Kluyveromyces lactis: one gene and its partners. The protein of the gene in region 2 interacts with the protein of the main gene of each other region in a biochemical or structural test. Links are inferred from orthologs where the notes say so. Each region holds a gene or a part of one and is shown on either strand. Other genes may lie near its edges.

Region 1 (3,665 bases), on a different chromosome or scaffold from region 2:
TACCACATATCTTAGCCCATAAAGCTGTATCCAGGAGTTTATTACCTTCCATAAGCTTTTTGTTTCTTAATATACCAAAGCACATTCAGCAAGCACGCACCACCCAATATGAGCGCAGTAGGGTCTATATTGACGAAATTCGTTTCGCTTTTATTTTTAATGGGTTCAACCATGTTGTTGATATTCATCGTTTTATCCGGTAGTATCGAACATAGTCCAGTTAATGAGTTTTACTGGTTACAAGCAGACACTTCGAACATTACCGGTGCTCCAGCGCTGTCCAGATGGACTTTCTGGGGTCTCTGTGGTGTCTCAGGTAACAAGAACGTCAACTGTTCTTCTTTGGAACCAGCTTATCCGTTATCACCAGTTGATGATTTCGGTACTACAGAGGGATTCCCCTCCGATTTCGTTAACAACAGAGACACCTACTATTATTTGACCAGGTTCTCATTCTGTTTCTTTTTGATTGCTTTAGTTTTCATCGGTGTCGGATTAATCTTTTACGTCTTGTCCTGGTGTTCTTACAGTTTCACCAAGACGGTGTTTGTGACCATTGTTATCGGTACTCTATTGAACATGGCTGCCAGTGCGTGTCAAACGGCTGCTACGGTGTTGGCCAAAAACGCTTTCAAAGACGCCGATGTCTCTGTGGATATCGGTGTGAAATTGATGGCGTTCTCTTGGACTACGGTAGCGTTGAACATTATGCTTTTCTTCATTACCGGTGCCTCTTTCATCAGAAAGGCTTACAAGGCTCATAAGGAATTTGTCGAATTGCAAAATTACAAGGAACAAGCGTTGAGTTACGAGCAACAACAACAGCAGTTGCAATTCCAACAGCAGCAGCAACAACAAGATTTGGAAGCTACCGGTGCTGGTACTGCCATCGATGAGCCCCAGCCACAAGAATCTCACCAGACCGGTATCAAGTTCTTCAAGATTAGAAGAACTCAAAAATCTGATGAAGAATCGATTTGAGAGGTGATAGGTGATTAGCGGGGGGAGATGAAAAGTGTTACAACGTTTGTCTCGCACCCTGTAACCTTATACTATTGAACAAACCAACTAAAACAAAAAAAAAAACTACTATCAACAAAACTTCGAGCTTTAACCCAAGTTATCAATTGTTTAAAATGACTCTAAATTTCTAATACCCTTATTCTTTCTATTCTTCTTCTTCTTTTTAACTATATCTACTTATATTCTATTAAATATCACATTTACGTTTGTATTACATGACTACTCTTGTCAACCAGGACGTTAGTGGTCCATAACCTCAGGTTCAGCCGGCTCATAGTCTTCCGAATCGTACATTATTCATCGCTCGGACCTCTCCATTCCGTTATTTTATCCACTCTTTGTTCCTCTCAATTCAAGAATTATTCACTTTAACCACTTCAACGAAATCAAATAAAACTCCGTCGAATCAGTACAGTCAGGAATCACCACCCTGGACACTCCCTTCCATTGTGTTTGTGTTTGTGTTTGTACTTTCATTCATTGTCCCTTTTTGACAATATAAAGGTTAAACAGAGAGCTATAGTATATCTTGGGACAATTGTGATTTAGTCACTTTGAAAGTGTTATTATTTGATCCAGTGTACACAATATCTCGGCAGGACGGCATCATGAACAATAACAAACGGTCCAAATTATCCACGGTGCCATCGAGTAGACCGATCCGTGTTGGTTTCGTTGGGTTAACCAGTGGTAAAAGTTGGGTTGCCAAGACGCATTTCTTAGCCATACAGCAGCTCAGTTCACAGTTCCAGATAGTGGCCTTGTACAACCCTACTTTGAAATCGAGTCTTCAGACCATTGAACAGTTGCAATTGAAACATGCTACAGGGTTTGATTCGTTGGAATCTTTTGCTCAGTATAAAGATATCGATATGATCGTTGTTAGTGTAAAAGTGCCAGAGCATTACGAGGTGGTCAAGAATATATTGGAACATTCGTCCCAGAACCTGAATCTAAGGTATTTGTACGTGGAATGGGCTCTTGCTGCAAGCGTACAACAGGCAGAAGAGTTGTATTCGATATCTCAGCAGCGTGCCAATTTACAAACGATCATATGTCTCCAAGGACGTAAATCGCCATACATCGTTCGGGCCAAAGAGTTAATCAGCGAAGGTTGTATCGGAGACATCAATTCCATCGAGATATCGGGCAACGGTGGTTGGTATGGGTATGAACGTCCAATGAGATCGCCGGAGTATTTGTACGACATCGAGAGCGGTGTGAATTTGATATCGAATTCGTTCGGACACACGATCGATGTATTACAGTACATCACAGGGTCGTATTTCCAAAAGATCAATGCGATGATCTCAAACAATATCCCAACTCAGTTCCTATTGGATGAGAATGGGAAACGGACCAAGGAAACAATTTCAAAGACGTGCCCAGACCATCTTTTATTCCAGGGAATATTGGAAAATGGGAAGGTACCCGTATCTTGCAGCTTTAAAGGTGGTACTCCAGTGAAGAAATTGACCAAGAACCTGGTAATAGATATACACGGTACTAAAGGTGACTTGAAGATCGAGGGTGATGCAGGTTTTGTGGAGATATCGAACCTTGTGCTCTATTTCTACGGTATCAAGAATGGGAACGGTAGCAGCAATGGAACTGACAACAATGGAGCTGCTGCCATAAAAGACAAGGAAAAAGTAACTAAATCACCTTCTCCAAGTACAGGTACTTCGGAAGAGGAACAAACCATGGAAGTGTTTCATCTAAGGAACTATAATAGCGTTGTTGGAAACATACTACGAATCTACGAATCCATTGCCGATTACCATTTCCTTGGGAAACCTGAGTCCAAATCATCACGCGGTCCCGATGACTTGTTCGCAAGCACGAAATTTGATAAGCAAGGGTTCAGATTCGAAGGATTCCCCACATTCAAAGATGCCATCATATTGCACCGGCTAATAGATGCGGTGTTCAGAAGCGACAAAGAGGAAAAGACTCTTGACGTGTCGAAAATAATGATATAAATAAACTTCAAATCTATGTATCCATACCATCCTACGTATTTATGATCTTAATGTTGCCATGTCCTCTCTTTCACAACAACTAGGATCTTGTTATCATCAACATTTGCTGATTTTAATTAAAGACTTGTTGCGCATTTAAATCTTTAAATCGGGAATCCGTTATGGCTTGCTTACGTACGAAACGGCTTCGCAAATAAGGAAATTGAAGGAAAAGAGCACATCTAAACTTCGAAGAAAAGCTCATCCATATCCAGTTCCTGACAGCTTCCACAGCAACCTTCCCATGAAAACTCAAACCAGCATCAACTTCGAGGTCTCTTGTCATATATAATAGACCTTCCATTCTTTATATTCAAATTCAATTGAATTACATTTAAGGCGAACGAATCGAAGAACCAAAAAAGGTCAACAACCAAAGGCTCAGAGTGCTATGAACTTGTACTCATATTCAAGAATAATAAAATTCCCTGGGCATAATGCATTGGTGTTGAAACGTCTTTTCCATAGGCCGTACCAGTTTAAATCGGTTCCTGATGATATAAAGAACAATTTAGTCACTGAATGTGAATGCTTCGTAAAGAGGTTGAATGAAAAGTTACCAGACAAGAGTCAGTTGGATATCTCGTTAACTTTGCCAAATAAAGTACCAGAATACCACAA
Region 2 (4,526 bases):
TCATCTTATTTTCAACTCAGAGATCAGTGCAAGTTCCCTTGTTTGATGCGTGTATTCTTATAATTTGCTGATGCTAATCAGTATCTCCAAGCTTGCAACAATGTATTAAGGTTAGCCTTTGTAGTATTTCGGGCTTCAGCAAACGCTTTTTTCATCAGAAATGAATCAGGATCCATCATCATAGGTAAATGTTTAGCCATGTAGAAAATCACATCAATACCTTTTCTTTTTCGAGGAAAATGCAGTCGTTTCTTTTTAATCAAGATCAGAGTTGTTCCGGGCGGAGAAACTTGCCAAGGTGACGTACGTACCTCAATATTTCTTTCGGAGAAACAACAAGATCAGAATGATCACGTGACCAATTGACCAAAAGATGTGGCTCATTCATAGGAATAAAAACCGTACGCTCTACACTGTACACTACCACGCGTCTTCGCTCACTCCATGGTATACAAGGGTGTTGCTGTCATACCGTCTCGGCTGTTATGCGAAGGTAACGAAATATTTTTTTTTTTTCTTTCGAAAAAAACGTCGACTCAAGCCATCATCACAAACTCGTCCCAGAAGCAACGTACGACTCGCATATTTGCTGAATCTGGCAAATCGCATACCGTAATATCATTAGAATTAGCCCCAAGGCAATTCTTAAGCACTCGAGGGAAAAAAAAAAGATAGAAACGAACATTCACACACAGAAACTTACAGCTGAGAGAAAGAAAGGAAACAGTAGAAAAAAAGAAAAAGCAATGATGAAGTAAGCCTGATTAACATGGTGGTGCGAGCGCCAATGCTTTGCATACTTTACCTGCCTCTGTTCCACTGAAAATCCAACAGAGAAGTGTTTGCAGCAGATAACACGAACACAGACATCAGTTTTTTTTTCCCCGGTCAGGGTGAATTCATCGCCTCCCTCCACTTCGTATTATCACCCCTCGAGTTTTTGATTCGTAATAGAAGAAGGCAAGAATCCTGTGATATTTTATCGTTTCTTCCATGATGCAGGTTGTCAGAGAGAAGATTCTATATGCCAGGAGATAAAATAAAGAGCTACTCCACAGACCTACCTGTACAAGTAGACTCAATGGAGACGTTCATACACAAGAGTAATTAGATATAGGGTAGACATAGTACTAAATAGATACAGCATCTTGACATAAAACTGACGGTTTGCCAAAATGTCGACATTACTGAGAGATTCCGCTAAAAACGCCCGCAGATTCCGTTGAAAAAAAAAAAAAAAAAATTAAAAATAACAAATAAACGTTTGCATTGGTTTTGAAGAAACAGAAAAAAAAAAATTGAAATAAATAAATGTTTAGAATTCTACTAACACGATACTTAAGTTTGATTGTCAACATCTTTGTTGTTTTTTTTGGAGAGAAGGACACAAATAGGTAACGAAGATCTGCGAGAATTATTGGTTCTGTATTTTGATAGTAGGTTATAAACCTGGAACGATTGATCGTACTTTAGCTCAGTGATAATAGCGAGAGCCAGGTTATTTTTTAAGTGTGACGTAAAGGGTTTGTATTTTGGTCTACTAAAAGCAAGAAATATTCAGACTTATAGCCTGGGAAATAGCACGAATACACTCTCACACGCTTGTACTATACTATTTTTCTACTTATAATTTTTTTTCTTTGTGTGCAAAATATAAACAGATTGGATATCCAGGTTTGGATTGTATCGAATAGGTAGGAAACGAAACAGAATTGGCGTTTGATATATGCTGAACGCAATTTCAGGTCCAGCAATGGCAGTCTCGTTACAACAACAGCAACAGCAACAACAACAACAGCAACAGCAGCAACAGCAACATGGATTATTGGGACACCAACATCAGCAGGGCATGTTGCAAGGGTTACCACATACCATGAATGGTGCGGTTGCTGCTTCTCAATTAGCAATGCAACAACCAGGCCAAGCGTCAGAATATGGCAATGAACAGGTACCAGGACAAAGTCAGTTGCCGATAGAGGTACGTCCTCAGGATTTGTTGCCGGTTAAACAGCCTTTGAAGCCTCTAGATCCGTTGTCTCAGTCCACAGCAGAGACCTGGCTGTCCATTGCATCTCTGGCAGAGACTTTGGGCGATGCTGATCTGGCTGCAATGGCATATGATGCGACTTTACAACATAACCCATCGTCGACAAACGCATTGACATCGTTAGCTCATCTATATAGGTCTCGTGATATGTTCCAAAGAGCTGCAGAGCTTTACCAAAGAGCTCTTTCTGCGAACCCAGAGCTGGGCGATATATGGGCTACTCTTGGCCATTGTTATCTAATGCTTGATGAATTACAAAACGCATATGCAGCTTATCAACAAGCCCTTTATCATCTATCAAACCCAAACATACCGAAACTATGGCATGGAATAGGTATTCTATACGACCGTTATGGATCTTTGGATTACGCAGAGGAAGCATTTGCCAAGGTTTTGGAACTTGACCCACAATTCGAAAAGGCAAATGAAATTTATTTCAGGTTGGGTATCATTTACAAACATCAGGGGAAATGGAATCAAGCCTTGGAATGCTTCCGTTATATCCTGCCTCAACCTCCTGCTCCGTTACAAGAATGGGATGTCTGGTTCCAATTGGGTAGTGTTTTAGAGTCAATGGGTGAATGGCAGGGAGCTAGGGACGCGTATGAACATATCATATCACAGAACGACCGCCATGCAAAAGTCTTACAACAGCTCGGTTGCCTATACGGTATGAATAATGTATCATTTTATGACCCACAGAAGGCTCTAAATTTACTTCTCAAATCTTTGGAAATCGATTCTACTGATGCTACTTCGTGGTACCATTTGGGTAGAATTCATATGATCAGAAATGATTACACCTCTGCATATGATGCCTTCCAACAAGCCGTTAACCGCGACTCAAGAAACCCAACATTCTGGTGTTCCATAGGTGTATTATACTACCAGATTGCTCAATATCGTGACGCCCTAGACGCTTACACCAGAGCAATCAGATTGAATCCTTATATCAGTGAAGTGTGGTACGATTTAGGTACTCTATATGAAACTTGCAACAATCAGGTCAATGATGCATTGGATGCATACAAACAGGCTGCAAGGTTGGACCCTAACAACGTTCATATTAGGGAAAGGTTAGACGCCCTCACTGCTCAAATAATGAATCAACACCAATCGGGCGAACAGCAACAACAGCAACAACAGCAACAGCAACAACAGCAACAACAGCAACAACAGCAACAGCAACAGCAACAGCAACAGCAGCAACAACAGAAGATTGAATACAATCAGCAGCCTGCTCTTCCTTTACCATCTCAATTACAGCAACCCCAACAACCAAACCAACAGCCACAACAACCAGTGATGTTACAACCAATGCTGCAAAACAACACACAAATGTTCAATCCTCTGAATGACAAGCAACAAAATGGCCAGGAGCAACAATATGCTGTCCAACAGTTCCAACAACAGCAACCTATTCAGCACACTAATATGCCACCGGTTCTTCAAAGAGTTGATCAGCAGCATCCACAAGTTGTGCAGCTACTGCATCAACAGCAACAACAAGACCACGAACATCCACAACAATATCAGCAATCCCTGCAAACTCAACAACAACTACCACCACCACAAACCCAGCAGGTGCAACAAGGACAGCAAGGACAGCAAGGGCAGCAAGGACAGCAAGGATACCAAAATGGACAGGAACAATCGCTTCAAAATACCACACAAGCCTCCCAGGTCACACAAGCTCAACAAATCCCTCCGCCACCCCAAGTGCAACAAACCATTCCTCAAAAGAGACCTTTGGAGGGGGGAATGGATACATTGTTCAACGCTATCTCACAACAAGAGCAGGAGCAACAGAAGCAAAAGGAGGCGGAACAGCAGCAAACGACAGCACCACAAGTCACGACACCCCAAGTTACGAACACCGTACATAGTACACCTTCCGAGCCAAAAGTCGAACCTAATGATAACAACCTTGGCATCGTCAACGATACAAACAGCACCATTGCACCAGCTACGCAAAATGCTGACACAACTACCATCGTACCAGCAGAAGGAAAGCAAGAGTCTGTACAAGTTACTGAGGCTGAGGGACAGCAACCACAAGAATCTCAGGCACCTGCTGGTGAACCTGAAGCACCAACCTCAGAAGCTAACGTTGTTGAAAACACAAGTGCCACCGAGAATCATAATGGAGCAGAACCTGCAGTAGCTAAACCTGAGATAACGGAGCAACACGCCATTGACACTCCTGCTGCAAATAACCTACTCAAAGATGGCTTCTCTGACAGTCAACAAAAGATTAATGGAGCCCAGAATAAAGATGCCTCCTCTGAAACTGTCGTTGAGCCTGTTACGAAGAAACAAAAACTGGATACGGAAGAAACCGTAATCAAGCCAAGTGCTGATGCAATTGAAAGCATAAAGGAGCAGGAGAAGATTCGCCAAGAGGAGGAGAATGAAACTCTGGAAAAAGTCGAAAAGAGTGCGGAATCCATTCCAAAGGAAAAAGTTGTGAGACAAGTCG
Region 3 (3,514 bases), on a different chromosome or scaffold from region 2:
CCTTTTACCATGAGTAAGAATGTGTATATACTAGCCATGGCGATCATTTGCTAGACGGTTAGATTCCCCTAGATCTTAGCGAGCTTTGGGTAGAAAAAATGGATTGGGGAAAAAAGTGCATCCTGTAGTTTCTCCGTGAAATCAATCCGGATAAACACTTTTCCCGCTTTTCTCACGTTTTATTTACTTTGACGGAAAAATTTTTAATCTCGGGAGAGTCTCTTCCGAAATTCCCCTCGAACATGAAATGACGCAGGAGAAAGTTTTCCCTAGATGGAGCAAAGCAAGTCAAGCTAAAGAGATTGCTGTGGTATTCGGGACTACTTTATTAAAGTGGGTAGAGGGGGGAAAGCTTCAAACAGAGCAAAGATGTATAACCTGTTAACACCCAGGTTAGCCAGGAACCTTCCACGTTTGCAACTTCTCTTTTACGTTTTTTAATGAGCGAAATATTCAGGTTTTTCCGTGGTGCAGTAAATACCCCGTACAAATTGTTTTTTTTTTAGTTTTTGGCTTTTTTTTCCCGAGGATATATTTGTTTTCTGTCGTCCCTACGGAGGAATCTGTACAAGGATATAGGCTAAAACTGGAAATGAAGAAGTACAGCATCTATTGAGGTCTCATTGTCTCAGTAGCACTCTGTGAACAGCCCACATTATGTTTTTCTCCTGTTTCTTTCTCCGTCCCAGTAAAATGCTAGCATTATACTGGAAAAAAAAAAGCGTCCGGGGTTGACAAGTGATTCGTCTTAGCATTGCCTAACAGATTCGGTTTTTTGTGGTTAAAAAAAAACTAATATATATGGTTTGAGGTATTCTTGTCACTTTCTGAGATTTTGTTAAACTTCACACGTCAACCATAGCGGTGTTCATCGATAGTCGTATTATTTGGACTTCCTTTGTGAAACGAAGCAATTTTGTGGCTTCAAGAATCAGTTATTTTATCCTGAAATCTACGTAATCCTCTCCAGTCTAATCTGCCTTTTTCTGAAGATTCTCGGAGGTAAAAAAGAAATTCAGCAAAACATTTCTGATATTGGGTTCATCGATATTGTAAATATTGTGTGAGACTATCTTAGTTTAAACGGGGAAGTCAGTACGACGTTTTCAAGCCAAGTTTGTAAGGTTGAAGATATTGCATTCCCAAAAACACACAAAATAAAAAGACACGATACTGGATTCATCAAGTGATCTGCTGGAGTTTTACAAACCTATCATTTCAGCTTATACTTCCGTTTGTTTGACCATATCACGGGTCTTTCTGCTGTAATACTTCAAGGCAAGCTTCCATATTATTTTGGTTTTTGGTCTTGTTATTTGGTGACTGATACGAAAGGAATCTGGAACTTATAGCACCAATGACAGAGGCGATTATAGAGAAAAAAAATCATAAGAAGTCTATCAATGATCATGACAAGGATGGACCAAGGCCTTACGTCTGTCCCATATGTCAAAGGGGATTCCATCGACTGGAACATCAGACTAGGCACATCAGAACACACACTGGGGAAAGACCGCATGCATGTGATTTCCCGGGATGTTCAAAACGCTTTAGTAGAAGCGATGAACTAACAAGACATAGAAGGATACATGACAGTGATAAACCAAAGGGGAAAAGAGGAAGGAAAAAGAAGAGTGAGACGATAGCTCGTGAAAAGGAATTAGAATTGCAGCGGCAAAAACAACGAAACGCAAACGACTCTGCGGCTGTTGATTCTGCTGGTGGAACGAGCGCTAATGTCATAGAACCAAACCACAAACTTCTGAAATCCACTAATTCGATTAAACAAGATGGTTCAACATTTACTGAACCTCTGAAATCGTTGAGGTCGAAGCCAATGTTTGATCTCGGTAGCGATGAATCGGATGAATGCGGTATATATAGTGTCCCACCTATTAGATCTCAGAATAATAGTGGTAACATAGACCTTCTGCTGAATGCTGCAAAATTTGAGTCTGACAAAGCCTCATCCTCTTTCAAATTTATTGATAAACTACCGTTGACTTCATCTTCATCCTCTCCGTCACTTTCGTTTACATCTCATTCAATCAACAACAGCAGTAGCGGACTATTGTTACCAAGACCAGCTTCACGTGCTAAGCTTTCTGCTTTATCATCATTACAAAGAATGACACCCTTGTCTCAAAATTCAGAGTCATATAATCATTCGCAACAGAATCTAGTACATCTTCACCATCCCGCACCCAACCGACCATTGACCGAGTTTGTTGATAACGAGTATATAAGTAACGGTCTGCCTAGAACCAGATCGTGGACAAATCTGTCGGAACAGCAATCACCATCGGGCTTCAGCTCCTCTGCACTTAACTCCAGATTCTCGTCATCCAATAGTCTCAACCAACTGATAGATCAACATTCAAGAAATTCAAGTACTGTAAGCATATCTACTCTACTGAAGCAAGAAACCGTAATCTCACAAGATGAGGATATGAGTACAGAAGATGCATATGGCCGGCCACTTAAGAAATCAAAAGCCATAATGCCCATCATGAGACCTAGTTCTACAATGCCACCAAGTTCCGGCTCAGCTACAGAAGGAGAATTTTATGATGAACTTCATTCAAGGCTTAGATCGATGGATCAACTGCCGGTAAGGAACAGTAAGGACGAAAAAGATTACTATTTCCAAAGTCATTTTTCAAGTTTACTGTGCACTCCAACGCACAGTCCTCCACCGGAAGGATTGTTACCCAGTTTGAATCAGAATAAGCCAGTGCAGTTGCCATCACTTCGAAGCTTAGACCTTTTACCACCAAAATAATGACTACTAATGAAAATGGACAGAAATGTAAGCGCACCGTCTCTTCATCGATCAATGTATTATATTAACTCAAGATATAAAACTTTCACGCATAATGAATATAGAATTTTACTAGCTCTTGTCCATCAATTATATATCATTTCATCTTAGCATTCTATTGACAATAACCATCCAAAATAGACTTTGTAAAGTTTTCAGAGAACCTGAAGCTTGCGATCACCGAAGATATTCTGTGTTCAGGATACTGGTTGTCATGCTCGTCTGAGGAAAAACATCTTTCCATGAAGATATCACGTGATATGTTTGATATTCAAAGTTTTTAAAGGCTTTAAACTGCAATAGTATCAATCAATTTAAAGGTTGCGTGATAGGAGCTGATGCAACCTTAGTAGCAGGTCGAACCAGTTGATTTTATGAACTGACCTAATCGCACGTGGTACACTTATGAATGCAGAAAACAATAAGAGACGCCCAGAAGACGAAAATGTCTCTGTAGAGGAGGCTGCTACCTTGAAAAAAGTTAAGAATTTACATACGCATAACCGCGAATATACCACTGTTTTAGTTAAGAACTTGCCTCCAAATTATAATCATCATAAGGTTAGAAGATATTTCAAAACTTGTGGTTCGATATTACAAATAGATGTTACAGATTCAACAGATGGGGATTCAAAATTGGCAAGGATTGAATTTAGTTCCTATGATCAAGCCCTAACAGCAGTGAGCAGGACT
Region 4 (4,531 bases), on a different chromosome or scaffold from region 2:
ATGTGAATCGTATATACAGAGACGAATTTTCAAGCAGTTTCCCCTATCTACCTGCTGCAGGAACTAGCACTTCTAACCGGCAGTAAAGTTTTCCGTATCAGCTCATGAAATCGTTATATCTTGGCTTTTGACACTGGCTTTCGAGGTGGCTTTAGGAGTCTCGAAATGTGTGCCCACAGCAGTGTTTCCTTCGAAACCAGCCGTGGCTCCATTCTTTGTACCATCTATGCCGCTCTCTGTTTCGAAACAACCGTGAGATCAACTGTGGTTCAAGTTCTCAACACAGAACAAGTAAGAAAAAAAAGAAATGGGAAAAGGTCCCTCGAGAGGAAGAATGCTGAAAAGGCAGAGAAGGAACCTCAGAGCAAAGTCCGCCCTTTATCATAAATCGGCGGTCTTTTCTTACAACAGAGATCCCAGTGGGGCGGCTCGAACGACGGAAAAAATTTCGAACGATTTAACCGTGAACGCATGCCTGTCCCTAAATTGTAGGACGTTTTCCTCGATTTAAATTCCAAATCACTGAGCGATACCGCTGACAGCACTGGAATTATGCTACTCTTAAGTTATATTTTTCCCTTCGCTCACGTGATTCTAGGAAGATAGTAAATACACTGTGCCGTTTGTTGAGCTACAGCGTGAACAGTAGGAAATGTACTTCCACTACGGGCTGACTAAGTCCACGCTCGAAGGAATAAAAATCACTTCGAGTGTCTTATGTTTTTCTTTTCTATCAAAACGACAAGTACGATAAAAAAACCGGCATGAAAATCGAGTAGTGGTTATCAGAATGAACATTGCAGGACCCGCGCTGAACCCAAAAGTCGACTTTCTTGATTCTTAATTGTAATCTGACTCTTTGAATGCTTTGAGCTTCGAAATTCCTTTTTTTTTTCTTTCATATTTAATAGTGAAAGTATTGAATCCTCGAGAAACTGAAAAATTATACAACCATATAATTAATACACACTGAGCCGTATCTGATTGAGTCAGATCTAAGTGATTGGAAACGAGTAAGGTTTGTAGGACTCTAGTTTCGGATATCCAGTTTTTTGAGTGTTGTATCGTTCCAAGGCGGATTGTAGGTCCTGTCTGTTGTGTTTTTAGTTCTTTCGTTTTTTTTTTGAAAGAGAGTTGTGTGTGTTTTCTTTTTTGAGTTGACAATCAGTGGTACATCTAATCTTTCTTTGGCAACATTCCTCATTCTTGGGTTGTGTGTGAGTATCGGAACTATCAGTTTGGAATTGATATATTTATTGCAAAATTATACACAGTGCATACCTCTTCAGCGACTCTAGAGTTCAATTTTTCATTCCTGCTCTTGTCAAGTGCTCATAAGAAAAAAAGAATCACTAAAACATTCATTTGATCACTTCGATTGCTTCTGGGTGTAATTCCTTCATTCTGTCTTAGTTCTAGCTCTCACGATACTGTTGAATCAGCTAAAGTAGGGTTTTTGACCTTCAGTTCATTGTACATCATCCATCATTTTGTTGGAAGTCATTCCTTACTGTGTACATATTGAGAATCAAAAAAATAAAGTATTACTTACCTAAAGAGTGACGATAGAATATACATCATCTCAGTGCGGAGTGTGAGTAAGAATCAAAACTAAAATTGAGATTACAATTGAGGGTTCGATGTCGTCTCAACAGGACCAGTGGGTTAATCACCATAATACTCTATTGCAATTAGCTTCAGCTTCAGCTAATTCCCCTATGATTCCAAGACCAGAATCTTCCCAATCAAACATAAATCTTTCCTCATCTAATTCGACCGCCCAATTACAACATATACTGCAACATTCGTTATACCCTCCTCCTCCAGCCGCTATGGCACATTTACACAATGGTACTACTGTCAATAATGGTAATGGCTCTACTTCCTCAAATATGCAATTCACTCAGGGTTTCTTACCTAATCCACTACCTCCCATCAACGATCACCAATTAGCAGGTGGGCAGTCAAGTCCTCAAACTTCTCAAGGTCACCAACAACAGCACCAGCAGCACCAGCAACAAAATATGATGAGATCAATCACTCCTCTGTCAGTAATATCACCTAACGGAGTTGTTTCTGCACTTCCGAACCAAGTCCTGCATTATCAACATATGCAAGATATGCATCTACAGCAGCAGCAGCAGCAGCATCAGCAACATCAACAACATCAACAACATCAACAACATCAACAACATCAACAACATCAACAACATCAACAACATCAACAACATCAACAACATCAACATCAACAACATCAACATCAACAACATCAACATCAACAACAGCAGCAACAGCAACAGTTCATTTTACAAGACCAAGACCAACGCTGGAAAAAACAGAAAGTTGACGAAGCTATGCAGCCTGTACGGACGGGTGCTGCTGTGACTTCGAAAAGAACAACCCAGGAGAATATCTTAAAATTAGTAGCAATGAAGAACAAAGATAAGCCCTTGAGCGAATATGCTTCTGTAGTTAGAAATGCTGAAATCCAAGTACTCAACATGGATACCTCTACGCATGCCAAATCTGAAATTCAATCGGCAGAACAGCACAGAGAACGCGAGAGGCAAGTGTATGCCTTAATATGGCTAATGAGCAACTGTGTGACAGACACTGAATCTTACGTCCGCCGCGGTAGGATTTTTGCCCAATACGCGGCGTCTTGTGCTCAAAACCAGTTGAAACCCTTATCTCAGGCCACTCTTGGTAAATTGATCAGAGCCTTGTTCCCATTCTTGAAAACAAGAAGATTGGGTATGAGAGGACAATCAAAGTACCATTACTGTGGACTCAAGCTTGTTTCTCCTTTCGCTACTTCTTCAGATTTAACACCGACAGGGTCGTCGAATAGTGACACGTCAAGTGCAATGTTGTCTACCAGTGGGACAACTTCAAGTCATTCAAATAATGAAAATTCAATATCTTTGAAGTATGAGGGTGATTCTCAGCATTCTATAGACTCACAATCCGATCATAGCAATGGAATAAAATCCATACAGCCAAATGCCATGTTGGGGAAACAATCTTCGGTAAGTGATCCATTAAACCAGTTATCCGAAGATATTTCATTGGACGTGACAGGAAATATTCAAGGACATGATGCTGGTGTTAAACCGGTATTATCGGCTGAAACAAGTTTTAATACGTGTTATGATGAAGGATACGCTTTACTACCAGATTTCTTCGCAGTAACATCAGAAGCCAAAGTGGAACTACCTATTGAATTTCCAGACTTGCAAAAGTTTTTACCGGTAAATCAGTCAGTTGATCCTGATATTGCTTCCAGTGTTAACTCCCTATACCAAGTTTATTGTAATACTTTGTTTGAAAATATACGGTTCATGAAGTTTGATGATCTTCCATTAACATTGCAATCATTTTCATCGAGTTCAATATCATCAAAAATGTACAACTTGTTTATTTCTGAAGAATTGTACAGATGGGTTCATCAATCAGACCTACTTACTCACAAGGCTCTGACCAAGATGCTTTCGAGTTTGATTGTTGACTTCAACGAAATTCCAGAGGTTGTGTTCAACAAATTGTCAGACTTTTCAAATGAGTATATGAAGATGGTTGAGCAATCTACCATGGATTTACCATTACCGATGGTAACCTTCAAAAAGAGTGTGGCACAGGCGTTTTGCCGTCTTGTGAAAAGGCTCGTGAAAGTGATTGACAACAGCAAGAAATTATCAAATATCATGAGTAAGCAAGAGAATAGATTATCAATGTTATACGTCTGGGAACAGAACGTTAAAGTGTCCGAACTAATAAACCAAGAGTTTTCTTACTTCAACCACCCTGCTTTAGAAAAAGATATGCAAGAACTCTTTTCAGTGCAGTTATTGGAACTTCTTAAGAAAACGGATGAGGATTTTGATCTAATCTCTTTCGTTAAAATGGTTTTCGGAGTGCTTTCAAACAAGAGTCTACCTCCTAGATTACTAGTATTGACTTTCAATTCTTTCACCGCTGCTTGTACGAAAGAAATATTAACGAACTCAAACGAAAATTTTGGATTGTGGTGGATGTTCAAGGCCTTTCTAGATGAATGGATCTTTTGGTATGCCGAAGTTGGAGGATTCCTCAAAGATTGAACCTCTGAACTTTAATTTTGATAGATTGTTTTTCTACGCTAAAGTTACCTTTCCCACTAAGAATATTACTCTTTAAACCTACTCCATCTCCTATTCGTTGTTTTGTTTTTGTTTTTCTTGTTTAAATTCGATTTACCTGCCTTTATTACCATTCGTTATCGTTTCTATTCCTTTAATCTATTATTCTATTCAGAAACGAATAAAAAAACGAAAATTGGACTTGTTTTCCCATCTAATTGAACCATTCCTAATCTTCCCATTAATTTTGTATCTATTACCATACCCATTCTTGCATTTACGTGGTAATTGTCGTTCTGCTCTTTTCCTTTTCATGATCATTAATTGTACTATTGTTTTTGGACCTGTCAATTCATTCGACGACTCAAGTGAGCTCCAAAACGAATGCCACAACCAACTTCTGATCCTGGCGA

What was found.
Region 1: the proteins of CYC8 (region 2) and GAL80 form a complex in vitro, tested with the Saccharomyces cerevisiae proteins (2 studies listed by BioGRID). The link is inferred for Kluyveromyces lactis from reciprocal best matches to the Saccharomyces cerevisiae genes CYC8 and GAL80.
Region 3: the proteins of CYC8 (region 2) and MIG1 form a complex in vitro, tested with the Saccharomyces cerevisiae proteins (2 studies listed by BioGRID). The link is inferred for Kluyveromyces lactis from reciprocal best matches to the Saccharomyces cerevisiae genes CYC8 and MIG1.
Region 4: the proteins of CYC8 (region 2) and RFX1 form a complex in vitro, tested with the Saccharomyces cerevisiae proteins (2 studies listed by BioGRID). The link is inferred for Kluyveromyces lactis from reciprocal best matches to the Saccharomyces cerevisiae genes CYC8 and RFX1.

The regions. Positions count from the first base shown.
Region 1 is NC_006037.1:726,756-730,420, reverse strand, and holds GAL80 (transcription regulator GAL80), read left to right. Parts: upstream 1-1,631; coding exon 1,632-3,005; downstream 3,006-3,665. Other genes in the region: SUR7 (Sur7p), read left to right, coding at 109-981; AIM32 (Aim32p), read left to right, coding at 3,436-3,665. UniProt on the Saccharomyces cerevisiae protein: This protein is a negative regulator for the gene expression of the lactose/galactose metabolic genes. It binds to GAL4 and so blocks transcriptional activation by it, in the absence of an inducing sugar.
Region 2 is NC_006038.1:812,577-817,102, forward strand, and holds the start of CYC8 (transcription regulator CYC8), read left to right. Parts: upstream 1-1,726; coding exon 1,727-4,526. UniProt on the Saccharomyces cerevisiae protein: Acts as a component of the CYC8-TUP1 corepressor complex which is involved in the repression of many genes in a wide variety of physiological processes including heme-regulated and catabolite repressed genes.
Region 3 is NC_006041.1:965,448-968,961, forward strand, and holds MIG1 (transcription factor MIG1), read left to right. Parts: upstream 1-1,357; coding exon 1,358-2,782; downstream 2,783-3,514. Other genes in the region: U6 snRNP complex subunit PRP24, read left to right, coding at 3,227-3,514. UniProt on the Saccharomyces cerevisiae protein: Involved in glucose repression of the SUC, GAL and MAL genes as well as of the CAT8 gene. Binds to two sites in the upstream region of SUC2.
Region 4 is NC_006040.1:414,441-418,971, reverse strand, and holds RFX1 (Rfx1p), read left to right. Parts: upstream 1-1,640; coding exon 1,641-4,100; downstream 4,101-4,531.